Linked DNA regions of Notamacropus eugenii. The protein of the gene in region 2 interacts with the protein of the main gene of each other region in a pairwise test. Links are inferred from orthologs where the notes say so. Each region holds a gene or a part of one and is shown on either strand. Other genes may lie near its edges.

Region 1 (7,867 bases), on a different chromosome or scaffold from region 2:
TGGGGTGCCAATTGCTGAGGGGTCAGTCACACTATGTCCAAAGTTCAATTTTGCTCAGTCAGATAGTAAGTTTGAATGTTTTCTTTCAAGGACAATGAAACCAGTGGCCAAGAAACTTCACCTGTAGTTCTTGACGAGAGAAGTGTTCTTTTCTAATGTGCCTAAACCACAGAGAAGTAGGATAAAATGTGTGGTTCTTGCGGAACAGAATTTTGCCCTGCATTAAATCTGAATTACTAAGTTATTGTTTTCTTTGATAGAATGATCATGTTTGAGAAATGCCTCCTAAAAATTTTGAATGAAAACCTAAAAAACTGGTGAGCAAAACAATTCCAATCCTACAGCTCTATATGACCTCATTCTACCAAATTTCAGGGTTGCTCTGGCTCCAAGGCTATCCTATATATACTGATAGTGAAGCAACTTCCTGATACGAGTCTGAAGGAACATGTATTTAACAGCAGGCTCCAAACCCACATCAGCTGTGGGACTTCTAGTGGACTGAAAAGATGTTAACTTACTCTGTCAATGGCTTCTGTTTATCCAATTTTAGGAATGACCTAGAGGGCAATATAATCCTTTGGAGTACATAACTTACTTTAATGGAAGAAGTTAAGGGCTACCGAGGTTTTAATACCAATTCCAACCTTACTGGCTATATGCTGTACAAATCTTGGGCAAATAACATCAGTTTCTCTGGGTCTCAGTTTCTTCATAATTAAAATGAGGGAGAAATAATAGTATACCGGTAATTAAGAGATAAAAGCAATTTGAGCTCTGTGAAACAACACACTCCATAAATCCAAGGAATCATTTCAGAGGAGTCCAGCAGGGTATCATCTCTCACTCTTCCTGTTCAATGCACCACAAAGCCTAGGGATGCTGGGAGTGATGACATCATTAGGATGCAGAAGGCAATCTGTTCTACCTTTCTGGCTGGACACCATTCACTCATTCATTCACTTGTGCCTGTGTACTCACATAAGTCTAAAAGGGCACTGTTTGTATATGACAAGTTCTGCTTTGTATGCGACTTTTTCCCTTCTGTAAAATGGGGAGAATATTCCTTAATCCATACCCATCTCATGGAAAGATAAGTTTCCTGAGACACTGGGAAAGTTCTCTATGCTCTTCAAAAAGAATAAAAAATAAAAAGCATTACAGAAATCCTATACACTGAGATTTCTCCTCAGCTGCTTCCCCTATATAGGCCCTTGTTACAGAAGATAAAACTCAAGCTACGTTATACTAAATGCTCTTGGTTTCTTAAAGCTGCCTTTTTGGAGATCCATCAATGGAAAAGGGTACCTAGTTGCATTCAGATACTAGGGACAGCCTTTGGAGGGTGAGGTAAACTCATTTTCAGGCTCTCAAGATTTGGGCCATAGGAAACTCCTAGTTTTTTTTCTCTCTAGAATCAAGAGGATGAAGAGGATAATTTCATATTTTCTGCATTTTAATTGCTGGGATGTGGTCATACACAAGTCATTGCAACAAGCCAACTACTACCTATCACATTAACTGACATTTTGGGCTCTACGTTTCTTAAAACAGAGTGGGGGGGGGGGGGAGGGAACCTGAAACAATTGAACCAAGATATAAAAAAGGCAACCTAGCTTGGAGAGGGCCAAACCTAAAGCATTAGAAGGCTTAGTCTTGGCTCCTTCATTACCTTATCTTCTAACTGCAGAATAAAGAAAGTCCTGAACCCACACTAAACAAGTTAAAACTTCTCAGCCTAATAACCGCCAAGGATCGAAGCCCTTTTGGGAGGAGGCATCTGGCTTGGCCTCTTAGGTACCCAGAAGACCCAACCCTCTTCCCCAATGGGGCACTGACATTTCCCCACTCCCCAAAGATCTAAGTGATCACTGATACTTGGGTCTCAGAAACAGAGTCAGAGCTGAAGAGCAGAAGTCTCCCTTGGGGGTAGATCTACTTAGTTCAATGGGACAGGCTGGCGGGAGATTTTCTGGGGACTCCAGGCCTTCTCCCTCCATCACAACGCCCCCACCCCCACCCCCAGCTTGGGGTTAGAGTATGAATAAAAACAACGGCGGGGGAGGGGTTCCTTTCTCCAAGGCCCTGGTGGTGCCTGGGGTGGGTGGGTGTGATGGATGCTGCCCACCCCTTCTCCACCCACAATTAAGACTACACACTACCCCCTCCATCCCTGGGTTGCCGCTACCTTAACCACGGGAGGGGCAAGAGGTGACCTATGACCCTGTGGGGGTGGGGGCGGATGACGTCAGAGGAGCCGCTACCCGCCCCCTAACGCCAGCCTTCTGGCCCAGGACCCGGGCCCGTAAAGGAGTTTGGGGGGGGGGGGGGGGGAAGATGTCTGGGGACACGGTGCTCTAGCGGCCCCCTCCCCCACCAGTCCTGGGCTCCCCGCAACGGGGCGGCCTGCAAAGCCAGGCCGTGAGGAGGGACTAGCTGGGAAAGGAAGGAGGAAGGGAGGGGCAGCTGAGGTCTCCGCCCCAGGGCCCAGCGCCACCTGCCCCCAGGGCCCGCCCGCCCGCTACGTACCGCAGCTCGGTCCCCTTCCCAGGGCCGCAGCCGGAGCAGCTCTGAGCTCGCCACTTGCCCCACGGCGCCCTTAAATAACGCCGGAGCGAACCAATCGTCCCCCTGCCAGAGAGGGGGGGGTAGCTTCCCCACTCCCAGGACTTGCCCCGAAGCCCCGTGCGAGGGCCAGAATTCCTGGGGTTTCCTCTCCCTCCCCCAAAAACTGCTGGTAATCAGTAGCGTCCGTGATGGAAAAGGTGCAACACTTGCTCCTCTCGATGTACCTCGCCTCAAAGGGGTCTTGCTCCCCACTAGGTTCCCCTACCGAATTGCGGAAGGTGGAAGGGACCGGCTCTAGGCTGAACTAACTTCGGGCCAGTGGGGAGAATAGACAGAGGTAAACAAACTCAGGCCCTCTCTCTACAGTTCCTGCTCCAGTCTGACTAAGACGCCTTCTCTGACCTTGACCTCTAGCAGAACAAGCCTCGCACCCCGGTGTTCGTTTTTCTATTTCTCCCTATACTGCCACTGCTTTGAAAAAAACCCCTCTTCCCTGCCACTGAGGACTCGTCTGCGACCCAGGGGCAGATGGGAGGTGTAGTCCAATGCTGGCCAGACTTGGGGCCTGCTTGAATAGGGTTCCAGAACAACGGGCAGCAGGAAAGGCTGAGGGGCAGGGGGGGCGAATTCCCGATCTGGATCCCAGGACCTTAGCCCCATCCCCAGCCCTTTCTTCTTTCTCCCGAAGTCGCGCCTGCACGTCCATTACTACACTCAGTGGGCCTGGGCCCCTTCTCTTCTTCCATCAACGCCCCCCATCCCCCGCCCTTCCAGTCACAGCAGGATGAGGTAATTGGATTGTGATTATGACATCATAATAAGCTCAGCTCTTTTCCTCCTCCCTCCCCCACCCCCAATGTATTCTAGAGGAAGCGCCCTCAGGACTCCTCTATCAAACCCCGCTTTTCATTCTTTGTGTAGAAGTGGTCAGACCCTCGCAAAGACCTTCTTTGTCCATAAAGCAGGAGTGGTCAGTGAGAGGAAAGGGCTATTCTTTCACCAAAGCCACAGGATTTCAGTCTGAAGTAACTGCACAAGTTACGAGTAAAACTCATCCCCCCCAAGAAAGACCTAGATGAAAGAGGCTAAAATAGAGGAAAACAGGGACAGAGACTTGAGAATGAATGCCAAGGGAAATAAATGAATCCACAGTCATGCCATCAGAGAGGCAAAGGGGTAGAGAAGTGATTTTAACCCAAATTTGAGCCAGTGGAGAAGGGCTTTCTTATTGCAGGCTGGCAAGTTTGTAAAACAGGGAAGGAACAGGAAAGAAGAAAAAAAAGAGTAAGGCAGGACACTAAGCTAAATAGGGGGCATTTTCTTCATCAAGGGTCAATGAGGGTCTTGCCCCAGAAAGCTGGGCAGCCTCCCTGCCCAATTTCCTAAAGGCCTTGTCTTCTCAGCACACTCCACATGCCCCAACACTGAAAGTGGTAGGTGGCTTCCATCTCCCAAGCAGTATAGCCAGTGACAGGGAGCTTCCAGCTGGAGACAGGGAAGTGAGGTGATAAGAGCCAAGATGTCAAACTGAAAAGAGAGAGGGGAAAGGGCCCATTTTCAAGAGGTAGGTAGACAATAGCTATCTATCCTCCCTGTTTTTCTCAGAGGTAGCTTAGCTTGGAGGGAATAGTACTCATTAGGATCTTCATTATGCCCCTTTTCCCCACTCCTAGAGAATAACCGCAAACATTTTACAACAGAAAGTAAAACCCTGGTAAGGATCAGACTGTGAAGTATTAAACAGACAATTCTTCCTAAAGTTTAAGGTAGTACGCTTGTAGATAATGTAACTTTATGGGGCAGAGGCTAAAATTAGGGCTCTGAGATACTTGCTTTCTCCCACCACACTTGTTTAATTTCCATATTTAAGCTTTCTGATCAATATATCATTGACTTGTTTGCATAAAAAGAAAACTCTACTCGTTCCAATTCCCAGTTAACTATCCCAACCCCAGTTTATCTAGTATGTATACACCTGTTTTGAACTCAGCCTTAATTCAGCCATTATGAAGTAATATTTTATTTATTATAAATTATTATATAAAATTATCATATATTATTAATTATTATATGTAATATGTAATACACAACATGTATTATAAATTATTATAAATAAAATGATTTATTTGTTCATTATGAAATATACCCACACCCTGAAAGACAACTCTTTTGATACTGTTCCTATGAACCTACCTGGGTTCTCATTTGGTCTTGATTTAGATTCCACAGGGGAGTCAGAACACTGAGCCAGCCTTTCAAGAAGTCATCTGAAGATCCTGAATCCATGCTCCCTGAAATATTCTCCACTCCCTGCCTAGCAAAGGTATATTTATTTAGGAGAAGAAACAAAGGCAGAATGAACCAGGACCAATGCAGACCCATTTTTTATATAGGTAGCTGTTCTCAGAACTGGGAGCAAGAAAAAGGTTTAGATTAGTCTAGGGTTCAGGTATCATTACAATGACTCCATTAAGAAACTTTGGCCCTTGTCCTTTCTCTTATACCCTAGCTTTTGTCAAAGGAAGAGAAGGTTTAGAACTCAAATCCCACAACTCACTGTAGCCAGGTACAAGAACACATATCATTCTCTTTGAACAGCAAAGGCTGACTGGGAGGATCCCAAGCATGTAGGGCTCGTCGCCATTGCCTGATCTGGGCATCCCAGGAACGTCGGCTGTACCTTCGGCTTTTGTCAGGTGTTTGAGGGTGAAGTCCTGACTGCCGTGTTGCCCTAGAGATAAAATGAACATCTTAAATTATGGTCAAAGACACCTATAAATAGATGGAAGAGGCTTAGTGCTCCTGTGTTATTGGCATGACTGAGAATCAGCCTAGTTGAAGAAAGAATTCTTCAGCATTGTTGGACATAGTTCATTAATTGTTTGCAGGTATCAGAGACTAACTTTAGAACAATGTTCATAGGCTCACAGATTTAAAGCTGAAAGGTACACCTCAGAGACTGCTTAGACCAAATCCCTCATTTTATAGCTGATAAAACTGAGACTGAGCTTTGGAACTTTGCAGTAGCTATATCCCATCCCTAGAATGCACTCCTACCTCACCACTACCTCACAGAATCCTTAATTTCCTTCAAAGCAAAGGTCAAAGTCCACCTTTTACATGAAGTTTTTATGCCCTTCAGCTCCCCCCGCTAAAAAAAAAAATTACCTTGTATACTTTTGTGTACAGGTTGTCTTCAGAACATAAGGGCCTTGACGGAAGGTACTATTTCATTTCTACCTAACATATAGTAGACACTTAATAAATACTTGCATATTAAATGACTTGTACACAAGACCACATGAGTTACAGTAAATAAGGCTAGAATTTGAGCTCAGGTCCTCTGACTCAAAATTCCCCACTCTTTCTATTATACCATGCTACTTGCAAAGTTGAACCCCTCTAAAATGCCTTCCCTTACTGACGAATAACAGTGTACTGACTCATGTTCAAAGTCTAAGAGAAGAGACAGAATAAGTCCAGGAAAGTTTAGCCTAATATTTTTAAATAGAAGATTCTATTTATAAAGATGCAGAAAGGCAAGTGATGAGAAGGTTTAGGAAGACAAGGTAGCCATTAACAAGATCAGAACAAGTATTATAGACCATGTAGAATGCTTAAAGATGTTTAGAAAATAGCAAGATTAATTGATAGGCTTCCTAATTTTTCTTAAGGCATTCTAATATGAATATCAAGGTGACTTGGTATTAATTGATAACAATTGATGGTAAAAGATATTTTCAGTTCTTCAAAGGATAAATGTTGTCCATCCCCAAACCCTCTGCTCTTACTTAGGGACTTGCTGTGAGAAGCACTGGTAACCAGCTGTTCGTTTCCCATAGTCTATCTGCTTTTGTCTCCTTCGAAGAACAATCTCATCTGTTTCTACATCCTGCCTGTGGAGAAATAAATGTCCTATCAATAAATAGCTATGAAAAACATAAAATGTTCTTAAACATCTCTTTACACTGCGGCCATCTCACTCCATCTGCCAGACTCCATAACTCACCTGCACCTTCTGCAGCTGTTCTCTGTGCTGACTCCCACACTCACCATCTTCACTCCAGAGGAAGAATTCCCAAGCCCAAGCATGTTCTTATCGGTTCTATAAGTAAAGAAGGTATCAGAATGACTAGGTGATTGCTGTGCTTTTTCCAAAGAAACACATCCTTCATCTGGATCCTGGACAGCCAGATTGAATTAGTGTCCACATCTCTAAAACACCCTCCACAATCCTCAGAGCTTCAATAAATAGCAAACGAACTTACATTGGACTTTTATTAAGCACCTACTGTTTGCAGGTCCTGGGGGAGATCGAGCTCAGATAAGACACACTCTCTTCCTTTCAGGATGTTTTTTTTAACTACAGTCTGGTAGGACAGAGGTAGTCAGTCATTCACGATACCATACGTGCTTAGAGCACGGAAAGGTGCAAAAAGGAGAGGTCAGGCTACAATAGTTGAAACTGGACAGCAGCAGGAAAAGCCCTTCGTTCCCCTACTCCTTTCCAAGGAAGGAATGGAGAACCTGCACACCCCAATACACACCTCTCTCTCCTCAATTCCAGAGTTTCTAAAGGCAGATTCTCCATTTCATCGCATCACCTCTCAGAGCACTAAGGTGAGGAGTCGGTGCATTAGCTAAGGCGAAAAGGAAGGTAGGGGGAATAAAACAGCCCAGAAACCCTCACCTGCACTCACCAGGTTTTTCAAATTCACCATTCAAAAGAAATAAGCTGGTGAGGGCGGGGCGAGAGGGAGCGAAGGGAGGGGGTGAGGGGGGTGGAGATTTAAATCTCCCGGGTGGAAGGCGTGGGAAGGGCGAGGTCCGGGCGGACGGGATGAATGGCCAAAGCATGAGCCAATCATGTATCCGATTTTCCCCGGAAGGCGGAGTTTAGCTCGGGTTTCGCCGTAACCTCGTAGCCAATCCGCCGCCGACTCGCGCTTGCTCGGAAGATTCGCCCAATCCCGAGTCCCGCCCATCTCTTTGAGTTTGGGTCCTGCCTAGCAGCAGGTGACGCCACAGCGAGCGGGTCTACAGACTAGATTAGATTGGCTGAGGCGCGCGTGGTGGGGCGGGGAGGGAGGGTGGGATTCGCTGGGAAGACTCACGGCCATTGGTCAGGAGGCGTCTGGGGGTGGGACTTCTAGGAGGTGCTCGGCGATTGGCCGGGAGGCTCCTCGCGCAGCTCTGGGGGCAGGCGGAAGGTTTGAACTTTCTAGGTGTGGCGAGCTGTTGGGCTGCGTCCTGACTTATAGCTCCCGGTCCTACCCTGGAGGTCCCGGGGAGTAGAGGC
Region 2 (7,804 bases):
TTACAGAGAGGGAGAGAGAGAGAGAGAGAGAGAGAGAGAGAGAGAGAGAGAGAGAGAGAGAATAATGTTTGATCATGTACTTAAGAAAGGAAATCCAAAGCAGGAAAGGCAGTCAGAGGTTCAGGTAGAAGCTTTTCTATTTGGTACCATGCTCCAATGTGGGAATGGTCAAAGGTTTGGGGGTGGAGGAAGAGACCTCCTATCCTCCTACCTCCTTACAGGAAACCTAGCTACAGACCTATTTGCCATATGGGAGTTAGTTTTTAATTGACACAACCATCCATGCCCATTCTGTTGTCAAAGGTAGGGGAAGGACCAAGGGACCTCTGAAGATTTGATATGAGATGTTAAAGTGCCAAATTCTTTCACTGCTGAGTCACACATACATAATCATATCAATAATAATAACGGCTGGTATTTATATGGCATTTTAAGGATCTGCAAAGTGCTTTAATATGTTAAATCATTTGATCCTCAAAACAACCCTGTAAGGTGGTCTTATCACCACCACCACCACCACCACCATCATCATCATCATCTCACAGACAAGGAAAGTGAGGAATAAGGTTAAGTGATTTGCCCAGGGTCACACAACCAGTAAGTGTCTGAGGAAGGATTTGAATTCTAGTCTTCTTGACTGCACGTCCCTAATTACTTTATCACCTAGTTGCTTCTGGCCCCATGTGATTGGCCATAAACAGTCCAGGAATCCCTGAATATTCTGTGAAATCCCTGTTACATGAACTCTGAAGGCAGAAGATGGGATGCTGTGAACAGAGAACAGCAAGTTGTCTGGTTTGGCTAAAATGTAACCCATGAGGGGGAATAAAGTGGGATCAAGGGTCTCTAAGTGGTTCAGTGGAGAGAGCACCAGGTCTGGAGTCAGGAAGACCTGAGTTCAAATTTGACCTCAGATACTTATTAGCTGAGTGACCCTGGGCAAGTCACTTCACCCTGTTTGTCTCAGTTTCCTCACCTGTCAAATGAACTGGAGAAGGAAACGGCAAACCACTCCAGTATCTTTGCCAAGAAAACCCCAAACGGCTTCATGAAGAATTTTCTCAACTGAAAGTGACTAAAACATAATCAGCCTAGAAAGATAGGTTGGACCCAAGCTATCATCAGGCTAGAGTGACAAAGAAGGAATTTTAATTTCATCTTAAACACAATGGGGATGCCCTGAAGCTTCTTGAGTCAGGGTGCCACATTCTATTTCTAGCCCTGAAAAGAAAAAAAAAGATGAATGAGACAAAGTCCCTGTCCTCAAACAGCTTATAATCAGGCGGGACTTCTTCCTCTTCCTCCTCAGGAAATGTGTGTGTGCTAGCCACACTGGATAGGAAAAACCGGAAACCTGCCTTAGTAATGGTCAGCTACTGGAACTGGAAGGACTAGGAGGGACATGAGAATATTGTTTCCAGGTGAAATGTATGGAACTTTATATAGTAGTAGCCCAATGTAAACATGGTAGCCAGGCCCAGAAACCTTTGGACAGCCAGATAGAAATAAGCAAACACAAGATGGCAGAACAAGGGCATATACTTTTTAGGCTAAAAAGGCCTGCCTGGAATTTTCTGTGTATTTCTTTGAATATGTTTAATATTGCAGTAAGTTTGAACTAAGAGCAGGACTGGTTTTTGTCTTTTTAAATTTTTAAAAAAATATTCCCACTACTTAGCACAGGTCTTGGCCCACAGTAGGTGGTTCATAAATGTTTGTAGACTTGACCTAGCTGGGGAGGTAGGAGAAACCTTTCACCCAGCTAAACTGTTTTCTGGATGTTCCTTCCTCACCAGACCTCTATCCTTAATCATCTACATGAACAGAAGGGGTTTGGAGTTGAAAAAAAGACCAGGGAACTCCAAACCCTAGAGCATTTACTTATCTACTTTTCCTCCTCTAGAAAACTAGGGGGTTGGGCTTCATAACCTCTAAGGTCCCTTCCCGCTCTAAATCTATGACTCTATTATGTATTCTTCCAGGGAAATGCAAGCTCCTTAAAGAGAGGGATTAATTGGTTTTTTTCTGTAGCCCTATACGGTAGACATTAGTAAACGTGTGTTAACATTATTCATTGAACTGAGGTCTTAGAAACAGGCCTCCTGGTCCTCTTCAGGACTGTGTGATAGTTTGGTCTTGTGGATAGTTTGGTCGTGTGTGTGTGTGTGTGTGTGTGTGTGTGTGTGTGTGTGTGTGTGTGTGTGTACCCTCATTTGAATTCCCAGGAGGCCCATAAAGTCCCAGGAGGACTACATAAGGATTGGAATACTGAGGGCTTAAGAGTCATGCACACAGTTTTTACTGTTCTCTTAGGAAAGTTGCAATGTAGGGCAGTTGGTCATGCCTGTTTCCTTTTTGCCTCAAGTAGTTTCATTTTGTTGATGAATCACAGTTCACTTCCCATTTATACCAAGGTAGAGAGAAGTGAGGAGCAGCCCTCTGTGGCCCTGTCATCCAGGCCCCTCCTTCCTTCCTACTGAGAGCCAGGTTGTTAGCTAGATGCTCTCCCTGGGCATGAGATCACCATCCTATCGATTGTTCCAGCTGGACGCGACCTTCATTTTGTAGTGGGAGAAAGCCAGGCCCCCAAAGCATAAGTGATTCACCCCGGGTCACACAGTGACAGATATCAATCAAGAGCAGGAATCTCCATACTCTATGTCCAGGACTCTTTCCAAATGACCATGAGGCCAGAGTCCATGACCTGTGATGGAGAGAAATGTTGATTCATTCCAGAAGACAGGCACTGGACTTCTGATTTCATTAAAATCTATAGTGAGGAAACTCTGTCAATGAAAGCCAGAACCTTCTCTGCAACCTCTAAATTTAGAGAGTTGTCTGCAGCCCTTAGAAATCAAATGACTTGCCCAGGGTGACATAGCCTGTGTTAGAGTCAGGACTTGTACTCAGTTCTTTGTGACTCTCTGTGCATTGTGTACCCAACCAAAACCAGACTATGTCCTTAATGGAGGAAAGTGTTAGAATGTTCATGGACAGCTTTGTTGAGGAGTAGGGATGGACCTTAGCATTTTATTCTGTTCAGGCCATTTCAATCCAATTCAACAAGCATTTATTAGGCACCACAAGCAACAAATTGGTAAAATATACATTAAGCATTTTACTATGTACCAGGCGCTGTGCTAAGCACAATAAATATAAAGAAAGGCAAAAACTCAGGCTTTCCAGGAGGGACAGGAGGAGACAGCAGGCAAGCAACTGTGTGCTGGCCACACTGTATAGGAAAAACCGAAAATCTTCCTTAGTAATGGTCAGCTACTGGAACTGGAAGGGCTAGGAGGGACATGAGAATATTGTTTCCAGGTGAAATGTATGGAACTTTATATAGTAGCTCAATGTAAAAATGGTAGCCAGATCGATCCATCGATCTATCTAATATTGGTCCGTATTTATTAGGATATATGTCTATTGAGATCTGTCCATATCTGGATATATCTATCTTGTATCTATCTAGATACACACCTATGTCTATCAAGGCCGTTAGATATTTCATATATCTATCTTGCAAACAACACACAATGAAGGCATCTCTATCTGCAGATTGCATATCTATAGATATGTAAGGCTATCTGCATCTGTAGATTGTATCTCTATAGATAATAGAAAGATCTCATTTGGTCTCACTTGGTCCCAGCCAGGTTAAACTGGATTTAATCTCACTGGAGGCAGGTGGAAGGGGGTGATGAGCTGGGTGCTGAAGGAAGGACTCGCGAGAGTCCAGGACACCGGGATGGGGTGGAGGAACATCCCAGGCTCCAGGTGCAGGGGACGGAGAGAAGGGACTAGGGGTCTGGGTTGTCCAGGGTCCTACTGGGGATCCCAGTGCCTGCCCTCAGGGGCCTTCCACTCACTCTCCCGGGGATCACCATAATAGCTAAGTGGGAGGACACCGATCCAGGAGGGTGGACGGTTCTTGGGCTGAGCCCCGAAGGGCCTGGGGATCGGAGGGGGAGGGGAACAAGAGGAGGGGGGCAGTTAAGGAAGTTCGGTCCCAGGTTGTGGGGGGTTTTTACAGGCCAGCAGAAGATATTGGATTTGATCCCAGGGGTAGTAGGGAGCCACTGGAGCTTACTGAGCAGGAGGGTGACAAGGAAAAGAGCGCCCACCCCCACCCCCCATTCAACCAGGGTCAACATCCCTAGAGAACAGGATTGGGAGGAGGAAGGGAGGGAGGTGCGCAGGCCCGGGCCGGGCTGGGCTGGGAAGGGGGGAAGGGCGGGGCTGGGCAGAGAAGGAGAGGGCGGAGCCTCCGGAGGCAGTGAATCAGCATTCCGTCTGGGTGACGCATGGCACGCCGCGCCCTCCCTCCCCCACTCCTCCATGGTTGCGAGTACAACCCGGGGAGAGGGGCGCGCCCAAGGTGGCGCTCCCACCCCCACCCCCGCCCCCTGTGGCTCAGGCTCTCTCCCCCAAGTCCCTCCCTCCTTGTGTAAGTGCCCTGCTGCTAAAAGCCCCACTCTCCTCGGCCTCTCCCCTCCTTCAAAGACCGAGGGATTTCCGCGCAAAGCCTCCTGGGAAGTGTAGTCTTCCCTTCGTCAGCCCAGACGTTATCAGAGGATCTCGCTCCCCGTGGACAGAACTACACGTCCCAGGGGTCCTCGCGACGAGGCGGTGACGGGAGAGGACGAGGAGAGGGCCGAGGAGGCGGAGGGGGGAAGGGGGTCGTGGGGCGGGGCCTCGAGCTGACGTCAGGACCGTGGGCGTGGCCGGAGGGGGTTGTTCTCCCGCGGCACGCGCAGCAGCCGCAGCCGCCTCGCGCCGGGTTCCTCCTTTGCAGCACGAGCCTCAGCAGCAGCAGCAGCAGGAGGAGCAGCAGCAGCAGGAGCAGCAGCAGCAGCAGGAGCCGGAGCCCGAGCAGCCTCTGCCGCCGCCGTCCCGCGGACGTGATTGGTCGGCCTGCCGCCCGGGCTTGAGCCGTCGCCGCCGCCTCTGCCGCGCGCGCCTTCCCCGCCGCCGCCCGCAGCCCCGCAGCCCCGCAGGAGCCGGCCCGAGCCGCCCCGCGAAGATGGTGGACCGCGAGCAACTGGTGCAGAAAGCCCGGCTGGCCGAGCAGGCGGAGCGCTACGACGATATGGCCGCGGCCATGAAGAACGTGAGTGCCCCCTCCCTCTGTCGCGACAGTGCCCGGGCGGCCCGAGAGCCTTGTCGCGATAGGCCCCCCCCCCCCCCGGCCTCGTGTCGCGACAGGGCGGATGGCTGGCGTGAGGCCTCCATCCCCATCCTTTACACTGCTGGGCTGCCAGATGGGGGGGGGGTCACCCTTTGTGCCCTCCCTGCAGTGTGGGGGGCGTTGGGAGTAGGTGGGGTGGGGCTGGGGGGGGCGCCGCGTCCATGCGGTCGCTCTTTGGAGGTTCCTCTTTCTCTGTCTGTCTGGGCGGCGCCTCTCCCATTCACTCGCCAGCCTGCGCCTGCTTTCTCCTTTCTGCTCCCCCCACCCCTCCCTCCCCTCCCCCCACCCCGGAGGAATTCAGGAAGGGGGAGTCGGGGTGGGGGGCAGAAAAATCCCTGGGTCAGTTAAAAAAAAACCCAGTCCTTCCGAGATCGCCGTGCGTGGCTCTTATTTGCTCAGTTTCTTCTTTAAAAATGCCCCCACCTCCTTCCCCTTCCTTCTTCCTGCCTTCGGGGAGGAGGGATGGGGGCTGGGGGGGGAGTATTTTACCGTTTTATCATTTTCTTTTCATTGTCTCGAACGTATCTCCGTTTTTTTTTCCCTCTCAGACTTGTCAATTGAAACATGCGGTATTTCCCCTTAAAATAAAGGTTATGCATCAAGCCTAGTGGTTCAATTTGTGACATTTGCTGTTTCTTTTCTAAATGCAGGCATACATCTATTGAAATCCTTATAAGTTAAAAAAAAATCATCTCTCTGATCTGATCTTGCAAACAAAGCGATCGTGGGAGGCAGTATCAAGTCATTCCAGAAGATTCTGCATTTGTCATATTGCAGAGAGGCTAGACTGGGTGGAGGGAGGGAGGGGTTGCTTTAAAGGGGGAAAATGTTTTTTTATTTGTTTCGTGACACAGGTCTGAGCTCTTTTTTTCTCCTTTTAATAAAGAAAAGGCTGGAGTGTCCCCTCCTGCTGATGAAAAGGAAATGCTGATCTTGAAATGTCGCAGCCTGTCTGGTGCACAGATGTCTGCCTCTATTGCAGCATTTTTTCAGTAACCTTACATTTATCAGAGGGGCAACATGTCAGCATGCTCGAGAACGGGGGAGGGAGGGAGGCAGGGTTGGAACGGGACCAAAGGAACCCTGGAAATGGCAGGATCTGATGGATGACTTGAGTGCCTCCGTTCTAATATTTGGCAGGCTCTTTTCAGGTATCCTTGACAAATAGATAACAAAGGTATACAGTTATATAACTAAGGTATTAAAAATACACCAATTAAAAACTGGATGACTGAATAAGCCAAGTATATAGGATAAATCCTCCTTAATTGGAAGATCCCATGTATTATCATGATTTCAGTCACACCTATGTAAGTTGAACTGGATCATTAAAGTAGGCCATGCTGAAACGTTTTATGTTTAGACATTTAAAAAGAGTATTAGGAGGGTAGGAGCTCCCTGCTAGAATTATATTACAATTGAGGGTAGATGCTCTATCTAGCCTGTATTTCAACATAATATCGGTACCATTGATAGCTTTTAACCTTTCATTCAAACCTCAGTTTCTTCTTTTTGCAGTATATTAGCCTGGGCATTTTAACAGGCCTTGATCTTAAATGGATTTGTCTTGACTGCTGTCTTCCGAATCTTCTAATTCTTCCTCATTTGCAGTTTTTCAGGAAAGCTTATGACCTCGCACTCATTGCCTTAGCAACATGGTGATGTCACACATAATGGCACCGAGGCTGCAATGCGCCCGGGTGGTAGGGAGTGTTCGAATGGCCCATGGCCAAGGTAATGCAGAAATGTGATATAATACAAGAGCCGAGTGGGACTGAAAATTTTATTGTATATACCCTGCTGGAGAAAATGATATTTGTGATAGGATGAAGGGTTGTTCCACTGTCCGGAATATTTTTACCATATCACTTTGCCTTTAGACATACTAATCAGTGACCTCCAGATGTACATTGGGGCTGATCATCTTTCTATCTTTAATGTCACATCTAGCCATTCTGTAGGATGACAAACAGTGGAACACAAAGAACAATTGGTAAGCAGCTAATATTTGAATTTCTTGGTATGTTTACACTACACTTGGATTCAGCTTTAAACAAAAACTTAAAGTTCTCCTAAAAATGAACTTTCTTGAACAAATAGGTGAGTTTATTACCTGTACTTTGGCCTAGTCGTAGAGCTCATTAATCAAATCACAGGATTTGGACTTGAATTAAGGGGAGTGTTTTTATGAAAAGTATTCACAAGGTATATAGTAGATTCAGCAGCAGCCTCGAAAGGGCCTTAGGAAGACCAGGGTTCAAATCTCACCTCCTTAGAGGAGTGTGGCAGCTTGATGGCTCAGTGGGTAGAGAGCCAGGGCTAGAACCCGAGTTCAAATTCCATCTTAGACACAAATGGTGGCTATGTAAACTTACAGTTAGCAAACAGGGAACTTGTCAGCACACTTTAGAATGGGGGAGGGAAACATGGAACTTCTAGGACTAAAGGAAACTAGGAAATGCCATGATTCCCCGTGTAAGTCGCTTAACCTCTTGCCTCAGTTTCCTCATTTGTAACATGAGGATGAAAATAGCACCTACCTTCCAAAGTTGGCACAAAAATCAAATGAGAGAATTGCAAAAACTTGGTAACACAGTGCTTGGCATGTAAGCGCTC

Evidence for each region.
Region 1: the proteins of YWHAG (region 2) and FAM53C interact in binary tests that used the Homo sapiens proteins (3 or more experiments, as listed by UniProt). The link is inferred for Notamacropus eugenii from reciprocal best matches to the Homo sapiens genes YWHAG and FAM53C.

What each region holds. Positions count from the first base shown.
Region 1 is NC_092872.1:365,474,829-365,482,695, reverse strand, and holds the start of FAM53C (protein FAM53C), read right to left. Parts: upstream 3,033-7,867; 5' UTR 2,530-3,032; intron 1-2,529. Other genes in the region: oocyte-specific histone RNA stem-loop-binding protein 2-like, read right to left, coding at 3,901-4,095, 4,762-4,882, 5,126-5,299, 6,360-6,464, 6,578-6,673, 7,116-7,159.
Region 2 is NC_092873.1:51,333,263-51,341,066, reverse strand, and holds the start of YWHAG (14-3-3 protein gamma), read left to right. Parts: upstream 1-4,735; 5' UTR 4,736-5,023; coding exon 5,024-5,110; intron 5,111-7,804. UniProt on the Homo sapiens protein: Adapter protein implicated in the regulation of a large spectrum of both general and specialized signaling pathways. Binds to a large number of partners, usually by recognition of a phosphoserine or phosphothreonine motif.